2 linked regions of the Anolis sagrei genome follow. The protein of the gene in region 2 purifies or fractionates together with the protein of the main gene of each other region. This does not show direct contact. Links are inferred from orthologs where the notes say so. Each region holds a gene or a part of one and is shown on either strand. Other genes may lie near its edges.

Region 1 (8,228 bases), about 150 Mb from region 2:
ACCATTTAATGCAGTTCCAAGCTGGCTTCCAAGCTGCAGTAGCTAGACAACAAACTCCTATAAAGGTGCTCCAAAGAAAGTCCTTAATGTTGATTAGTGCTCTGTGGTTTATGGAATCACCTTCCAGTCCTCAGACTGGTTCCAGGACTTCCTTTGTAATCTGTGTGGAGAACCTGTTTTCTTCAATATCAGTTTGTAGCTGACTTAAGTGGTCCGTGTAGATGTGCCCTCAGTTTCATAGAATGAGTGGTAATGTGTGTCTTTTTTGTCGCTGTCCTTATTGTTGTGTGCCTTGGTTAGAGGCCTGTGCAGTCTGTGACTGGCCAAGTCAAACATAGCCCACCAGCTGAGTATATTGTGATCTGGCAGAAGCTTAACATTTCTTTCTGTCCTCTGTCATCCCAGACAGTAGACAAAAGTTAGAGGTTGGGTTGCTGTAAGTTTTTGGGCTGTATGGCCATGTTCCAGAAGCATTCTTTCCTGATGTTTCGCCTGCATCTATTCATAGATGCAGGCAAAATGTTAGGAGAGAATGCTTCTGGAATATGACCATACAGCTCGAAAAACTTACAGCAACCCAGTGATTCCGGCTATCAAAGCCTTCGACGATACAAAAGTTAGAGGTTGATCAAAATCCGGGAAACCTATGTTTAACTTAGTGAGTCACAAGCTGTATAGGTCTGTGGCAAAATTATTGCGCTTTATAACTGGGTGAAGTTAATGGGGCATGTTACCACTCCACAGTCAAATTGTAGTTCCCATCCTTTGGTCTAAGTATTTTGTAGTTCAGCTTCCACAATTCCTAACAACTGGTAAGCTGGCTGGGATTTCTGGGAGTTGAAGTCCAAAAGAACCGGAGGATCAAAGGCTGGCAACCACTGAACTAGAGGAAGAGATGCCTGTCAGCCTTCTTTAAGTGAAAGAAGCAGCCCTCCCAGTCCCCAAACATGTGCCTGTAGACATCACCGACTGAATGCAATTTATGTTCATGAATTTATGATCATACACTTTAATACACTTAGTTTGCAAGGTGGGGTGGGAATCTTGAGATCCTCCAGATGTTGTTGGACTGCAACTCCTCGAATTTGTTATCTCTGGTCTGAGCTGCTGAGAGTTGCAATCCAATGCAGGGGGTGCATAATTCCCATCCTTGCTGCCTGGGACAGGGATGAAGTCACTACTATTTTGATAGGTTATTGTGAGGATGAGTAATCTTGAAGGTTCTTGTTTTTCCAAGTAATTCCAAGGTTCCTCAAATGTCATCACATAATCATTTTAGCAGTTTAGTAAGTCTAAGCAGATAAGTCTGCAAACCCTTTTTTTCGTGTCAGGACCAACTTGAGAAACTGCAAGTTGCTTCCAGTGTGAGAGATTTGGCCATCTGCAGAGTCATTGCCCAGGGACATCTGGATGTTTTGCCATCCTGTGGGAGGCTTCTTTCATGTCCCCGCATGGGAAGGTGGAGCTGACAGAGGGGAGCTCACCCCGCTCCCCGGATCTGAACCACTGACCTTTCAGTCAGCAATCCTGCCGACAAGGGTTTAACCCATTGCACCTCTGGGGACTCCATAGCCTATTGAAGTCTGTCTAATAAAGTGGTTCTCAACCTGTGGGTCTCCAGATGTTTTGGCCTTCAACTCCCAGAATCCTAACAGCTGGTAAACTGACTGGGATTTCTGGGAGTTGGAGGCCAAAACACCTGGGGATCCACAGGTTGAGAACCACTGGTCTAATAAATCTGTTAGCCCGTTGAAGTACTGTCTAATAGCAGGAAACTGTATGCTGTCTCAGACTATGGAGGAATTTTCTTCTCTGGAAGTTTTTTAAAAAGTTAGATGGCCATCTGTTGGGAGTGCTTGGATTGTGTGTTCCTGCATGGCTGAATGGGGTGGGACTGGATGGCCCTTGGGGTCTCTTCCAACTCTCTGATTCTAGACTTGGCTGAAAGGCCCTGCCTCACTTAGTACTACTGAAGTGCAAGCAAGTTGAATGCAAAAGAGATTTCTCTTCGTTGCCGTTCTTTCTGAACTAGGGCCTTGTATTTCTTTTGTGTGTATGTGTTTGCCCTAGAGCAGGCATTCACTTCTCAATTATGATATTTCCACATTACTAGCTAGTGATATGTAAACATGTAAGGGTTTTCTATTGTTTGAAGAAGCCAATAATTGGGTAGAAGTGTGTTGGCACTTTATGATTGTAATCCAAAAATACAGAAGTTCTCCTGAGGCCAGAAAGTAGCATCGATACAATGGCTTGCTTTGCCCAAAGGCATGAGATACGGACCCAAACCCACAACCGAAACCTCTTGCTGACCGTCGCTAGTCCGAGTGCCCTCACGTTGCTGGTTGCATTTATTAATTAAGTGATCAGCATTTATTTTGGTTGTTACCGTGTGTGTTCTTGACACCTTTGTATTCCTAAGTTATTTTGCTTCCTTATTTAATATTTATTTTATTTATTTATTATCCCATGCACAGACGTCAGGCTGTCTATCCTGCCAATAAAAAATTGGAAACCCAGTGTTGTCTGTTCTGTTGTTTTGAGCTCAAAGGACACCATGACTGTTCCTCAAAGACTTGCTTTATTAGACGTTCAGTGTGTAATGTTGCCAGTCTTAAATGTCAAAATACAAGCAACAACCTCTGCTGCCCCATGACATGATTTGTATGTGCTTTTTAAAGAATATGATTACACTATGTAACATAATTTTTGTTCTTGGGTTATAAATGTCATTTTCCTAATTGGTTCTATCATTTAAAATATGGAAAACGTTTATTACACTGCAAAAACATGGTTTTTGTGGGAAATCCTGCAGCACATTTTGCTATAGTTTTCAATGATTATTTCACAGACTCTCAACCAATTCAACGTAGTTTGTGGCAGCCACAAAAATGAAATTCATGGAGTAGAACTATTTTCAAAGTTAGTACTGCAGAATGAAATAGGAAATTACACTTGCAAACCCGGAACAGATTTTTTTTTTCAAATTTTCTTACATAGTGTTAGTGATGTGATGTCCACTATTAAAAACAACAGGCAAGCCATCATACTCTTTAATAATAATAATAATAATAATAATAATAATAATAATAATAATAATAATAGGATTTAAAGATCAAATTGGCACAAGCCAGTAAAGGTTGTTCCAGTGGTGACTGGCACACTGGGTGAAGCTCTTGAACACCTTGGCCTGCACTTATAAACAATCGATGCTGGCAAAATTACCATCTGTCAGCTGCAAAAGGCCACCCTACTCGGATCTGCACGCATTGTTCGCTGATACATCACACAGTCCTAGACACTTGGGAAGTGTCCCATGTGTGATCCAATAGAAAGGATAGTATAATGATCTTGTTTGCTGTGTACTCATCTTGTGTAAATAATAATAATAATAATAATAATAATAATAATAATAATAATAATAGGAGGAGGAGGAGGAGGAGGAGAGTTCCTGGGAGAAATTGAGAGCCAAATTGACAAAAGAAAAAACATGGCTGTGGCTCCCAAATGGAACTTTAAAAAAGGAGATAAAGGAGGACCTGATTCTGGCAGCCCAAGAACAAACCATTAGAACCAATGCCATCAAAGCCAGAATTGGAAAAGTCGATGACAGATCCCAAGTATAGACTCTGCAAGGAAGCAGATGAAACAATACATCACATCCTCAGCTGCTGCAAGAAGATCGCACAGACGGACTACAAGCAGAGACGTAACACTGTTGCTCAGATGATTCATTGGAACCTGTGCCACAAATACCATCTGCCTGCGACAAAGAACTGGTGGGATCACAAGCTGGAAAAAGTTATAGAGAATGAACACGTCAAAGTACTCTGGGACTTCTGAGTTCAGACTGACAGAGTTTTGGAGCATAATACTCCTGATCTCACGATCATGTTAAAAAACAGTGTGGATCTCCGATGTTGGAATCCCAGGTGACAGCAGAGTTGAAGAGAAACAACTGGAAAAGCTAAGACAATATGAAGATTTAAAGATCAAATTGCAAAGACTCTGGCACAAGCCAGTAAAGGTAGTCCCAGTGGTGATGGGAACACTGGGTGCAGTGCCTAAAGACCTTGGCCTGCACTTAAACACAATCAGCACTGACAAGATTACCATCTGCCAGCTGCAGAAGGCCACCTTACTGGGATCTGCACGCATCATTTGCCGATACATCACACAGTCCTAGACACTTGGGAAGTGTCCGAAGTGTGATCCAATACAACAACCAACAGAGATCTTGTTTGCTGTGGACTCATCTTGTTATGTTTCTAATAATGATAATAATAATAATAATAATAATAATAATAATAGACAAACAACTGGAAAAGTTGACACAGTACGAAGATTTAAAGATAGAACTGCAAAAACTGTCACAGGTCAGTAAAGGTGGTCTCAGTGGTGATTGGCACACTGGGTGCAGTGCCTAAAGACCTTGGCCTGCACTTAAAAACAACCAGCGCTGACAAAATTACCATCTGCCAGCTGCAAAGGGCCACCCAACTTGGATCTGCACGCATTATTCGCTGATACATCACACAGTCCTAGACACTTGGGAAGTGACTGATGTGTGATGCAATAAAAAGGCCAGTATAGTGATCTTGTTTGCTGTGTACTAATCTTGTTGTGTATCTGTTATGTATCTAATAATAATCTTGTTGTGTATCTAATCACAATAGTAATGTTTTATGTAGGTGTCTCTCATCCTAATAATCTGCTTGTGTATCTAATAACAATAATAATGTTTTATTTAGGTGTCTTTACACTATAGAATGAATGCAGCTTGACACCCACTGATTTTAACAGGTGTGTGTTAATTGTTTTAATTATTAATATTTTAATATTTTAATGTATTGTTGATTGTTTTATTATGATGACACTCCCCCCCCCCCTCGGGAGTGAGAAGGGCGGGGTATAAATATAGGAAATAAATAAAATAAATGTAGTTAAAGTGATATCCAACTGCATTCCCTCTTTGCAACAATGCTTCTGCTGCACCTTTAAAAGCTCCTCGTCCCGCCTCTCCGGGTCTGAACGCCCGTCGAATCACAGCGCAAGGATGAACGACCTTGGGAGACCCAGCGTCCAATCACATTCCGCGTTGGGATGAGAACTGGAAAAGAAGACTCGCGATTGGCTCGTGAGCTGCTTTCGCCAGAGGAGCGCGCGCCGGGCCAGGTAACAAGCGCGTGGGGCCTTTTAAAGGGGAAGGGGCGCTGCGAGGAGGACCCCCCCCCCTTCAGGGTCTTAAATTGCCCTTTGGCTCTGGGCTTGTTTCCAGACTATACTTGAGCCCCTGTTTCGTTTCCTGTAAATGTAAAGGGACTCTGGGTTGCAAGGGTGCAGAATTAATACAGTTTGGCACCACCAATGACTGAATGCTATGGTATTCTGGGAGTTGTAGTTTTGCAAGGCCTTTAGGCTTCTCTGTACCCAAAGTACAAATCCCAGAACTCCTCTGACTGTGAGCCAATCTGGCAGGGTCTTGGTTGTGTTTTGTTTTGGAGCAGAAGGACCACATTTTGGGAATCTATCAAGCATGGGCAGACTTGGGCCCTCCAGGTGTTTTGGACTTCAACTCCCACAATTCCCAACAGCTGTGCTTCTTGTAGGTTACAGCACAGTCCAGGATAATAGTCCAGAAGCAACTGCTGACTACTTCTTTAACTCTAGATCACTGCTTCTTAAACTGGGATCCATCCCCAAGTGGAGTCCTCTTAGCTCAATGCTGAAAAACTTGGCAAAGGTAAAAGGTTTCTGATCATCACCCATTTGCACAAATCTGTTAGCAACAAGGGGCAGTGTTTATAGTGGACTCTGCAGAAAATGCTTCAGCTGTACTCCACCAAAAAGATAATCAGCCTGTTTAGCTAGTCTTGCAAATGCTGGTTTAGTATCAGGAAATATTTGATTTCTGTACCTAATTTACATAACTATATACCTGGGCTCATGTGAAAACTTCTTTATGGTTTTTAATGTAGATGTTTATTTTATTTGTATGTCTGCTTATGTGGCATTGAATTGTTGCCTACTTGTAAGGCGCAGTGAGTCCCCTTCAAGGTGCAAGAAGGCGGGGTATAAATATAGGGGTTTGTTTTTTTTGTCGTGTCAGGAGAGACTTGAGAATCTGCAAGTCACTTCTGGTGTGAGAGAATGGGCCGTCTGCAAGGACATTGCCCAGGGGACGCCCAGATGATTTGATGTTTTTATCATCCTTGTTGGAGGCTTCTCTCATGTCCCCGCATGAGGAGCTGGAGCTGATAGAAGGAGCTCATCTGCCTCTCCCCAGATTTGAACCTGCAACCTGTCAGTCTTCAGTCCTGCCGGCACAGGGGTTTAACCCACTGCGCCACCAGGGGCTCCACCAAAAAGATAATCAACCTGTTTAGCTAGTCTTGCAAATGCTGGTTTAGTATCAGGAAATATTTGATTTTTTTACCTAATTTACATAACCATATACCTGGGCTCAAGTATTTATTTGTCGTGTCAGGGCAACCAGTCAATTGTATTACATTTCTAACAGAACAAAGCAAACAAAACAGACAAAGTACAGAATTGTGAGTTTGGTAGTTGATTAAATGTCCTTTGACCAGTATCTGGCCACTTGGAGTCCTTCTGGTGTTTCTGCAAGAAGGTCCTCCATTGTGCATGTGGCAGGGCTCAGGTTGCATTGCAGCAGGTGGTCTGTGGTTTGCTCTTCTCCACACTCGCATGTCGAGGATTCCACTTTGTAGCCCCATTTCTGAAGGTTGGCTCTGCATCTCGTGGTGCCAGAGAACAGTCAGTTCAGCGCCTTCCAAGTCGCCCAGTCTTCTGAGTGCCCAGGGGGGAGTCTCTCATTTGGTATCAGCCATTGGTTGAGGTTCTGGGTTTGAGCCTGCCATTTTTGGACTCTCGCTTGCTGAGGTGTTCCAGCGAGTATCTCTGTAGATCTTAGAAAAGATCTAGTAAAAACTTCTCAGGCAGATGTTTTTTACCCTTATGGTAGATATTTATTTTATTTGTATATCTGCTTATGTGGCATTGAATTGTTGCAGGGTAGAAGTGTCTGAAATAAATAAATAAATACTTGTAAGGTGCTGTGAGTTCCCTTCAAGGTGAGAGAAGGCGGGGTATAAATATAGTAAATATAGCAAATATAGTAAATGGTCTGGTTGCCCCTGACATGATAAATGAATGAAAAAATATAGTAAATACTGATAAATAAATAGTTTAAGAATAGTTGTTTGCTGTGTACTCATCTTGTGTATATAATAATAATAATAATAATAATAATAATAGGATGAGGAGGGGAGTTCCTGGGAAAAATTGAGAGCCAAATTGACAAAGAAAAAACATGGCTGTGGCCCCCAAATTGAACTCTGAAAAAGGAGATGGAGGGCCTGATCCTGCTCTAGATCATAAAGGGGGATGTGAGTACTCTAGCTAATGTTGAACTACAATTTCCATTATCACTGACCATAAGCTCTGCAGGTTGGGACTGATATGAAGAGGGCCCGAGCTTCCTCTCCTCTAAATTGTTCTTATTTTCTAAGGCGATAAACAGCATATTCCTTAATCCAATCTTTTTTGAAATCCAGAATCTCCATAACCTTTTGGAGAAAAATGTCATTCCCAACCATTTGAAAATAATAACCTTTTTGCAAAAGTATGATCTTCCAAAGAGAAGCCAAAAACCTCATTTGAGTAAAATCTTCTCTTCAGTGGTATATAATCACATGTACTTATGCAAGGCAATTTGGTTTCCAGTTTTTAGACTGATAACCCGGTTGTCTCTCATCTGTTAGGAACAGAGGTTATGCCAATACACAAAATATAGCAGTTCTTGGGTGCACAAAAATACCTCTACTCTCCCATAAAATATCTTGTTTCTATATCATGCTCTCAAGATTTTGTTAAAAGTGATATATTTGGTTTACTCATATCCTTCATGTATTCAGCATACAGGTACATAGCTTGTTAATCCAGTTACAGATAGGTCTAAAAGTAGTTTCTCTGTGCATATAACACAGGGCATCTTTCTTACAATCAACAGCATCATGAGTTTGCTCGTAACAGTCCATAGTCTAATGGTGTTTCTGCTCTAAAATGGAGACTGAGCTCTGAGCAGTCCCAGATCTGGAGCCCCTCCCACAACCTCAAGAAACATAGAGTAAAGGGAAAGCTGCATATCAAAACATACAAATATAATACAGTAAACAAACCAAATCCTATACAAACAAATTACTAGT
Region 2 (8,076 bases):
CCTCTGTAGAAAAAAAAGGGTGTGTGTGTGTTGAGGATGAATTTCTGGTTATCTCCTATAAGGTGGTAGTCCCCCATAAACACTACAACAAAGTGACTTGCTTACTTCAGTTTTCGGCTCAAAACTTGGCTCCAGCTCCCAGGAGCAGCACAGAGATCCACAGCCCTTGAGACACCTAGAGAGAGAAAAGAGGGAATAAGAAAGGTAAGGGGATGCCATGGCAAGAAGACTGCAATATGAGACTAGGAAGTACAACTCATGGGTTTCTTTCCTGAAAAAAGATAGTAGGGGAAAAAGGAAGGTTTCCAAGTTTGCTCAAATTTCGAAATGATAGCCTTGCTTCTGAGCCCCAAAATATTATCTCCATGGCAAACAAACAGTATTCTGTATATGCTCAAAGGAAGTGTTCTATTGCCAAGCTTGAAGTGATTTCTGCACAGTCCACTGTAAACACTGCAAATTTGTGAAAATGGGTGGCATTCAGAAACCTTTTTCCAATTTTTTTGTGATCCCAATATTGAGCTAAAGGGGACCCCATTTGAGGTTGGGACTCACAGTTTAAGAATAGTGGTCTAGACCAGTGATTCTCAAACTCTGATCCTCCAGATATTTTGGACCTTCAGGAAATCTAGAAGTTGAGGTCCCAAACATATGGAGGGCCAAAACTGACAGCTATTCGGCAGAGTAAATTTGATTATTTCTTGCAGCTTAACTTCCCATCACTTTTATCCTACCAGATAAAAGTCCTCCTTGGCTAAGATGGCTAGGATTGATCAGAGTTGCAGTACAAGAACATCTGCAAGATTGTACCACTCCCATGCACAACTGAAATGTTTCACCCCACACATTCTGGATAGATGAATTCCAATTGTATGATGGGGCTCACCTTGAAACAAATGATATTCTTCATCCAGTTGGAGAAGTTTGAAGGCGCTGCGAGCTCGCCAGCCTTCCTCCTTCGCCAAGCGGTAGTAAATGTCCCGTTTGTCCTTAGAGGAACGTCCCATCTTCCCTTACATGAAATGTCCTGGATGTGAGAGAGAAGAAAAACAATTGACTACTATGTCAGCAAGAATTATGAATTGAGCAGCAGCATTGGCTTATTATAATCAATGAAATCAAGGCATCCATATTGGTTAAAAGTGAAGATGGTTCAAGGAATAATAAAGCTGAAGAGCCCACGTGGGTCATCCAGTCCACCCCTTGCCATGCACAATCAGAGCAGACAGCCTATCAAACCCCCACACTATAGGAATGGAAAACATGTGTTTCTAGACAAAAGTTCCTAACCTCTCTGACCACTGGCTAAAGCCCCTTCCACACAGCTGTATAAAATCCCACATTACCTGCTTTGAACTGGATTATATGGCAGTGTGGACTCTGATAACCCATTTCAAAGCAGATGTGAATTATCTGCCTTGATATTCTGGGTTATACAGCCGTGTGGAATTACCCCTTCTACACTGCTATAGAAAATTTATTTATTATTTATGACATTTATATGCCACCCTCCTCACCCTGAAGAGGACCCAGAGCGGCTTACAAGATATATATACATTCAATATATATTATTAGCATAGTATAATGTCAGTATTATATATTACTAACTTTCACCTGCCACGGGTTGCTGTGGCCCAGTCTGCTGATCTGGAAAATAAAGTAACGGGAAAGTGTTGGTTTCTAATATATGTAATTTCTTTATGCTTGTGGGTAAACAATATTTCTTGCTGTTTCTTTGCCAGTGTTGATGTGGAGATGGTCTGGTTTGCCTACTGTAGAACATGCAACATATAATTTTTCTTCTTTAGGGGTCCTTTTCAAATCTATGATACTATATCTGTGTGTGGATCATATCTATCTATTTATATCTATGGCTGGATGGCTCTTTGTCAGAAGGGCTTTGATTATATTTTCTTGCCCTGGTGAAAGGAGTTGGACTGGATGGCCTTAAGGCAGCATTTCTCAACCTGGGGGTCGGGACCCCAGGTGTGTGTGTGTGTGAGGAGGTGTCAAAAGGGTCACCAAAGAAAAACACAGTATTTTCTGTTGGTCCTGGGGCTTCTGTGTGGGAAGTTTGGCCAATTCTATCGTTGGTGGGATTCAGAATGCTCTGTGTAGGTGAACTATAAATCCCAGTAACTACAACTCCAAAATGTCAAGGTCTATTTCCCCCAAACTCCACCTGTGTTCGTATTTGGGCATATTGAGTATTCATGCCAAATTTGGCATAGATCTTTCATCGTTTGAGTCCACAGTGCTCCCTGGATGTAGGTGAACTGCAACTCCCAAACTCAAGATCAATGCCCTCTAAACCCTTCCAATATTTTCTGTTGGTCAAGTGAGTTCTGTGTGCCAGGTTTGGTTCAATTCCATCATTGATGGAGTTCAGAATGCGCTTTGATTGTAGGTGAACTATAAATCCCAGCAACTACAACTCCCAAATGAAAAAATCATAATTTTTGAGTGATGGTCACTCTTTGTGTTGTGAAATGTTTTGTTGCCAAATTTGGTGTAATTGGTTCTTTTGTTTTTAAGGTACTCATTATGCACAGAGCATTTTAATATATATACTATAATTACCATTATATTGTAATTTTATTAGTAATATGACATGTAATATAAAATATATAATTATTATATTGTATTATTATTAGTATTATATTGTTTTACATTACAATATTATAAATATATGTATATACAATATATTATATAAGTAAACCACAGGAGACAAGATGGAACTGTCTTCTGCCCCCCCCCTTCCAGACTGTATAGACTCATATAATCCAGTTCAAAGCAGCTAATGTGGCTGATCTTCTTTGGTAATCTGGATTATATGACAGGGGGCCTTAAAAGCATCTGAAAAAATGGGAGGAGTTTTCCTGACAAACCGAGACAACGGAAGGACATCGGGTATCCAGTGGAGACATCCATAAACGATGATCTCTTTATAAATCTGCAAACCGAATAAGAAAAAGCAAAGGTCTCTATAATTACCAGTGTAAATTCAGACAGTGCTCGATTGTTATCTTCAGAGAGCAGAGAAAAGCGTGGAAGAGAAGAAGCGCATGCGCAACATGACTTATGTGCGGCCGGCTCCGGAAGGAAGTGCTGTTGCCGCATTGCATCCTGGGAGTTGTCGTCCTCAGGCGCCTCTGTTTCAGAACTTCGATAAAGAAGCGGGAGTCTCTAAAACTTCGTCTCCCATGATGCAACGCAACGACGTAAGTGGCGATGGGGGCGGGGCAAGGCAGGGGAAAATAAGATGGCGGAAGGAGCAGAGAAGTCAGCGGCCACTCCGCCGGCCCCGGTCTCTTTCGGCTTCACTCGGACCACTGGGCGGAGGCGGTTTTTGGTGGTGACCGGGCAGGATGGCGGCGAGGCGAAGCAGGAGCCCGACTTCCTCTCAGCCGTCGAGGGACGGGAGTTGCAAAGGTAGGCCGGCTTCCTGCTCTCGACCAGCTTGGGCCTAGGAGCAGGGGGCGCCTCTCAAGGCGCAGCTACATTGTGGAATGAGCGCACTTCGACACCGCTTTAACTGCCTCGTCTCAATGTTGTTAAATTCAAGGATTTGACAGTGTTATTTCAATGTTTAAATGGGCAGTACTTACTTTGAAGGTAGTTGTTCTACTCCAGAAACTTCGTTTTTGTGGCTGCCGTAAACTATGTGGAATTGGTCGATCCTCTATTGAGATATTCATTGAAAAACTAGAGCAAATGTGTTGCAAGATGCCCCAGTGCAAGGTCTTTGCAGTTTAATAATCTTTTCCATGTTTTTATGATAGACCCAATTAGGAAATTTATTTATTTATTTATTTCGAGTACTTCTAGCCCGCCCTTCTCAACCCCCGAGGGGGGACTCAGGGCGGCTTACAAAAAGGCACAATTCGATGCCGACACAAAATACACATAACGTACAAAACCATAATTAAAACAATTAGCACAGTTAAAACAGTCGGTATATAACACATCAATAAAACTAATCTCATGCTCAGCATTCGTCTTTCAGAGTTCCATAATTCCATTCATTAGTCAATTCCTGTCCATCGTCAAAGTCCTTTCTTTATCTGCCAGATTATCCGAATGCCTGGTCCCAAATCCATGTTTTCAATTTTTTCCTAAAGGAAAGGAGGGATGACACTGATCTAATTTCCCTGGGGAGTGAATTTCACAGGTGGGGGGCCACCACTGAGAACGCCCTGCTCCTCGTCCCCACCAACCTCACTTGTGATAGAGGCGGGGTCGAGAGCAGGGCCTCCCCAGAAGATCTTAGACTCCGAGGTGGGACGTAAAGGGAGATCCGTTCGGACAGATACACTGGGCCGGAACCGTATAGGGTTTTGTAGGTCAAAACCAGCACTTTGAATTGTGCTTGTAATTGGATCGCCAGCTAGTGGAGCTGACACAACAGGGGGGTGGTATGCTCCCTGTATGACGCTCCGGTGAGCAATCTCGCTGCCTCCTGCTGGACTATTTGGAGTTTCAGAACAGTCTTCAAAGGCAACCCCACGTAGAGTGCGTTGCAGTAATCTAATCGGGATGTAACAAGAGCGTGGACCACCGTGGCCAGATCCAACTTCCCAAGGTACGGGCACAGCTGGCGCACAAGTTTTAGTTGTGCAAAAGCTCTCCCGGCCACCGCTGGGTTACATTGATAACCCAGGAACAGAAACCGTGTTACAATGAGGCAGGCTGGCTCTGTCAAAATTACACTCTTTAGAGACTTACTAGTGTTCAGATTGTAGTTGTTGACAGCTTTCGGCTATTGTTGTTGTTCATTCGTTCAGACATTTCCGACTCTTCGTGACCTCATGGACCAGCCCACGCCAGAGCTCCCTGTTGGCCGTCACCACCTCCAGCTCCTTCAGGGTCAATCCAGTCACTTCAAGGATCCCATCCATCCATCTTGCCCTTGGTCGGCCCCTCTTCCTTTTTCCTTCCGTTTCCCCCAGCATCATTGTCTTCTCCAAGCTTTCCTTTCTTCTCATGATGTGGTCAAAGTACTTCATCTTGGCCTCTACTGTCCTTCCCTCCAATGAGCAGTCGGGCTTTATTTCCTGGAGGATGGACTGGAGGAATCCTTTCCAGCCAACAAACCTTTATATGGCCCTGGGTATATCTATATAAATAAAAATGAAATGTTCGTTTGTGGGATTAACATAACTCACTGGACAAATTGACACCAAATTTGGACAGAATACACCTATCAGGCCAACAAGTGACCGTCACTCATAAAAACACTGAAAAACACAGCAGCAATCCAAGGCACGCTCAGCTCTTTCCTCCAACACCACAGTTCAAAAGCATCTATTTTCCTTTGCTCAGTCTTCCTTATGGTCCAGCTCTCACATCCGTAGGTGACTATGGGGAATACCATTGCTTTCGGCTAACAAATGTATTATAACATGAAGTACAGTTTACTTGCTAAGTGCACACAATTCATTGGTACATATAAGTCTATTACTAGAGATCTGGATCGAGATGGCAAATTCTTAGAACCATAGAATACTAAGCATGGAAGGTGCAGCACTCAATACATAACGGAAGCACTTTTGAAAGATGCCCATCTGACATCAGTTTAAAGGCCTCTAAAGGAGGAAGGCTCACTGCATTTATTAGCTGGCTTATCTAGTGCCAATTGTGTATATTTGTGATGCTGTAGATCAGGGGTTCTCAAACTAAAGCCCGGGGGCCGGATATAGCCCTCCAAGGTCATTTACCCGGCCGTCGCTCAGAGTTGACCTAAGTCTGAAACTACTTGAAAGCATACAACAACAACAATCCTATCTCATCAGCCAAAAGCAGGTCCACACTTCCCACTGAGATACTAATACGTTTATATTTGTTAAAATTGTTCTTCATTTTAATTATTGTATTGTTTTTAAATGTTTTTTGCACTACAAATAAGATATGTGCAGTGTGCATAGGAATTCATTCATGTTTTTTTTCCAAATTATAATCTGGCCCTCCAACAGTTTGAAGGACTGTGACCTGGCCCTCTGTTTAAAAAGTGTGAGGACCCCAGCTGTAGAGTATCTGATGCTATACAAGTAGTCCCTGAGTTACAGACATGATAGGTTCTGTAGATTTGTTCATAAGTTGAATTTGTATGTAAGCGGAAACAGAACTGTAACTCCAGCCAAATATGTATACAGTATATGTATGTGTGTGCACACATATACATATACATGCGTGCACACAAATACACATGCTTTAAATAGCATGGGGAAGGGTTAAGACCCCTGTGGTGGTTGTTTGGCTGTCTATGCCCCTGTTAAGAAGATTTCACTTCACTTTCTGACCCTGTGGTAACTAGATTTTGGAAAAATTGGCTTGTTATGGAAACAGATATTGGAGAAAAAGCTCTTTCTCCCATGATAACTCTTACCGAAGTGAATTTCCCTTCCAAGGGGTAGATTTCCCTCACTTCCTGTTGTCTCACCCCCTTTCTTAACTGTGAATCATTTGTAAGTTGGATGTCTGTTACTCAGAGACTGCATTTAGTACACAGTATCAATCATGTTAGGTAGGACTAATGAGAGTTGTGATCCAACCACATCTGCAGAGAGAGTCTCCGGTTTGGCCATATACTATGAATCTGCTGCCTCCATTTGCTTGGTTTCAGGTTGGTTTCAGGTTTCTTTAGTTCAATGTAACTATCCTACATCCTCTGAGAGAAAAGTGGGATTTAAAAAAAAACAAGCCAATTCTTCTCCAATTTAGCATGAAATAATTGCATGTGGACATGAATATAGTCACTGGGGTGCTTCTTGTTTTCTTTGCAATTGGTTTCTTTAGGCAGGTAGAGTTACACTGTCTGTGGTTCTAAATGGGTGCATGTTTTTTCCTCTGAAGTGTCCGGCCAGCCCCACAGCCGAAAGAGCTTGTCATTCCTCTCATCCAGAAGAACCAGTGGAAAAAGCCAGCACCCCTTCCGGAGCCAGATGCCATCAATGGTGACGAGGCTCAAGCAATCCGAGAGCTTATAGAAGGTGAGTACAGCCTAGCTGTACCTCTTAGTTAAATTTTGCACCATTTTCCTTTTTTGAGAGCAAGTACAGGGATATAATTACTGTTTCTCTTTTCAATTAACCATATTACAAAAGGTCAAGTGGACTAATTTGGTTGGGTGTGGAGGCCTCAACAGTACTGCGAATATGAATGATTTCATATTTCTTGCCAATCTGACAACTTTAGCTTACACTTTCTCACTCATCTTCATATTTAGAATCCAAGAAGTCACAAGAGCAATGGGAGAGTGGCACCAAGCCAGATCCCACATTTGCTATTCCCCTTCTCATGCAGAACAAAGTGCCTGATGGCTTTGAGGATGGAGAAAAAGTGGATGTCAGCCTCCGCCCAGAATCGGTAGGTGTTGGGATGGATTCACCAGGTTCGACCTTTGGAGCTTCTGGCAAAGAGGGCTTAATGCCTCTTCTTTTCTCACTTTATTTGGTAGTCAACTGCAGCAGATTATGAAGAGGTACCAGTGGAAGCCTATGGTATTGCCATGCTGAAGGGCATGGGCTGGAAGGCCGGCGAGGGCATTGGTCGCACTTTCAAGCAGTAAGTATCTCTTAAGTACTGCAGGATATAGTATTAGAAATAACAATAATACATTTTATACCACAATTTTTCAAGTCATTTAAGCAGAAAAGGTAGGCTATTGCCTCAACATATCACAGTCTAAATTCTAGCAGTGAACAAATATAAAATAAAAAGTTTAGGTGCGAAGTTTCTGAAAATGGGAGGCAGAGGAAAGAAGGGATGCATATGGGTAACTAGACCACTTGTGACATTTTTATAACAGCAAGTCACTTCTCAGAAGAGATTCAACAGAATGAATTGGTTGTAGTCAGTGCTTAGAAAAAAATCTCTGCGTATGCATATTTTGCTTCTCACCCCACCCACATAATTAGTTCTTTTTGTTGCCATGGTTTTTGAAAGCTTATGAATGTGCTTCTTGTTGTTTTTTGTGTATATTTTGTGTATTGCATTTTAAAGTGACGTTGAAAACATTTTCAATCAATACAATCTGCTTTTTAAAAATAAGAGTAGCAACATAAACTAACTTCAGAT

What was found. The genes of interacting proteins can lie anywhere in the genome.
Region 1: the proteins of FTSJ1 (region 2) and WDR6 purify together in Homo sapiens (affinity purification with mass spectrometry; 3 studies listed by BioGRID and IntAct, with this or other methods). This does not show direct contact. The link is inferred for Anolis sagrei from reciprocal best matches to the Homo sapiens genes FTSJ1 and WDR6.

Annotation. Positions count from the first base shown.
Region 1 is NC_090022.1:28,501,930-28,510,157, reverse strand, and holds the start of WDR6 (tRNA (34-2'-O)-methyltransferase regulator WDR6), read left to right. Parts: upstream 1-5,118; 5' UTR 5,119-5,175; intron 5,176-8,228. UniProt on the Homo sapiens protein: Together with methyltransferase FTSJ1, methylates the 2'-O-ribose of nucleotides at position 34 of the tRNA anticodon loop of substrate tRNAs. Required for the correct positioning of the substrate tRNA for methylation.
Region 2 is NC_090022.1:179,132,173-179,140,248, reverse strand, and holds the start of FTSJ1 (tRNA (cytidine(32)/guanosine(34)-2'-O)-methyltransferase), read right to left. Parts: upstream 3,099-8,076; 5' UTR 2,995-3,098; intron 1,028-2,994; 5' UTR 1,008-1,027; coding exon 887-1,007; intron 176-886; coding exon 106-175; intron 4-105; coding exon 1-3. Other genes in the region: GPKOW (G-patch domain and KOW motifs-containing protein), read left to right, coding at 3,263-3,432, 6,853-6,989, 7,226-7,365, 7,457-7,563. UniProt on the Homo sapiens protein: Methylates the 2'-O-ribose of nucleotides at positions 32 and 34 of the tRNA anticodon loop of substrate tRNAs. Requisite for faithful cytoplasmic translation.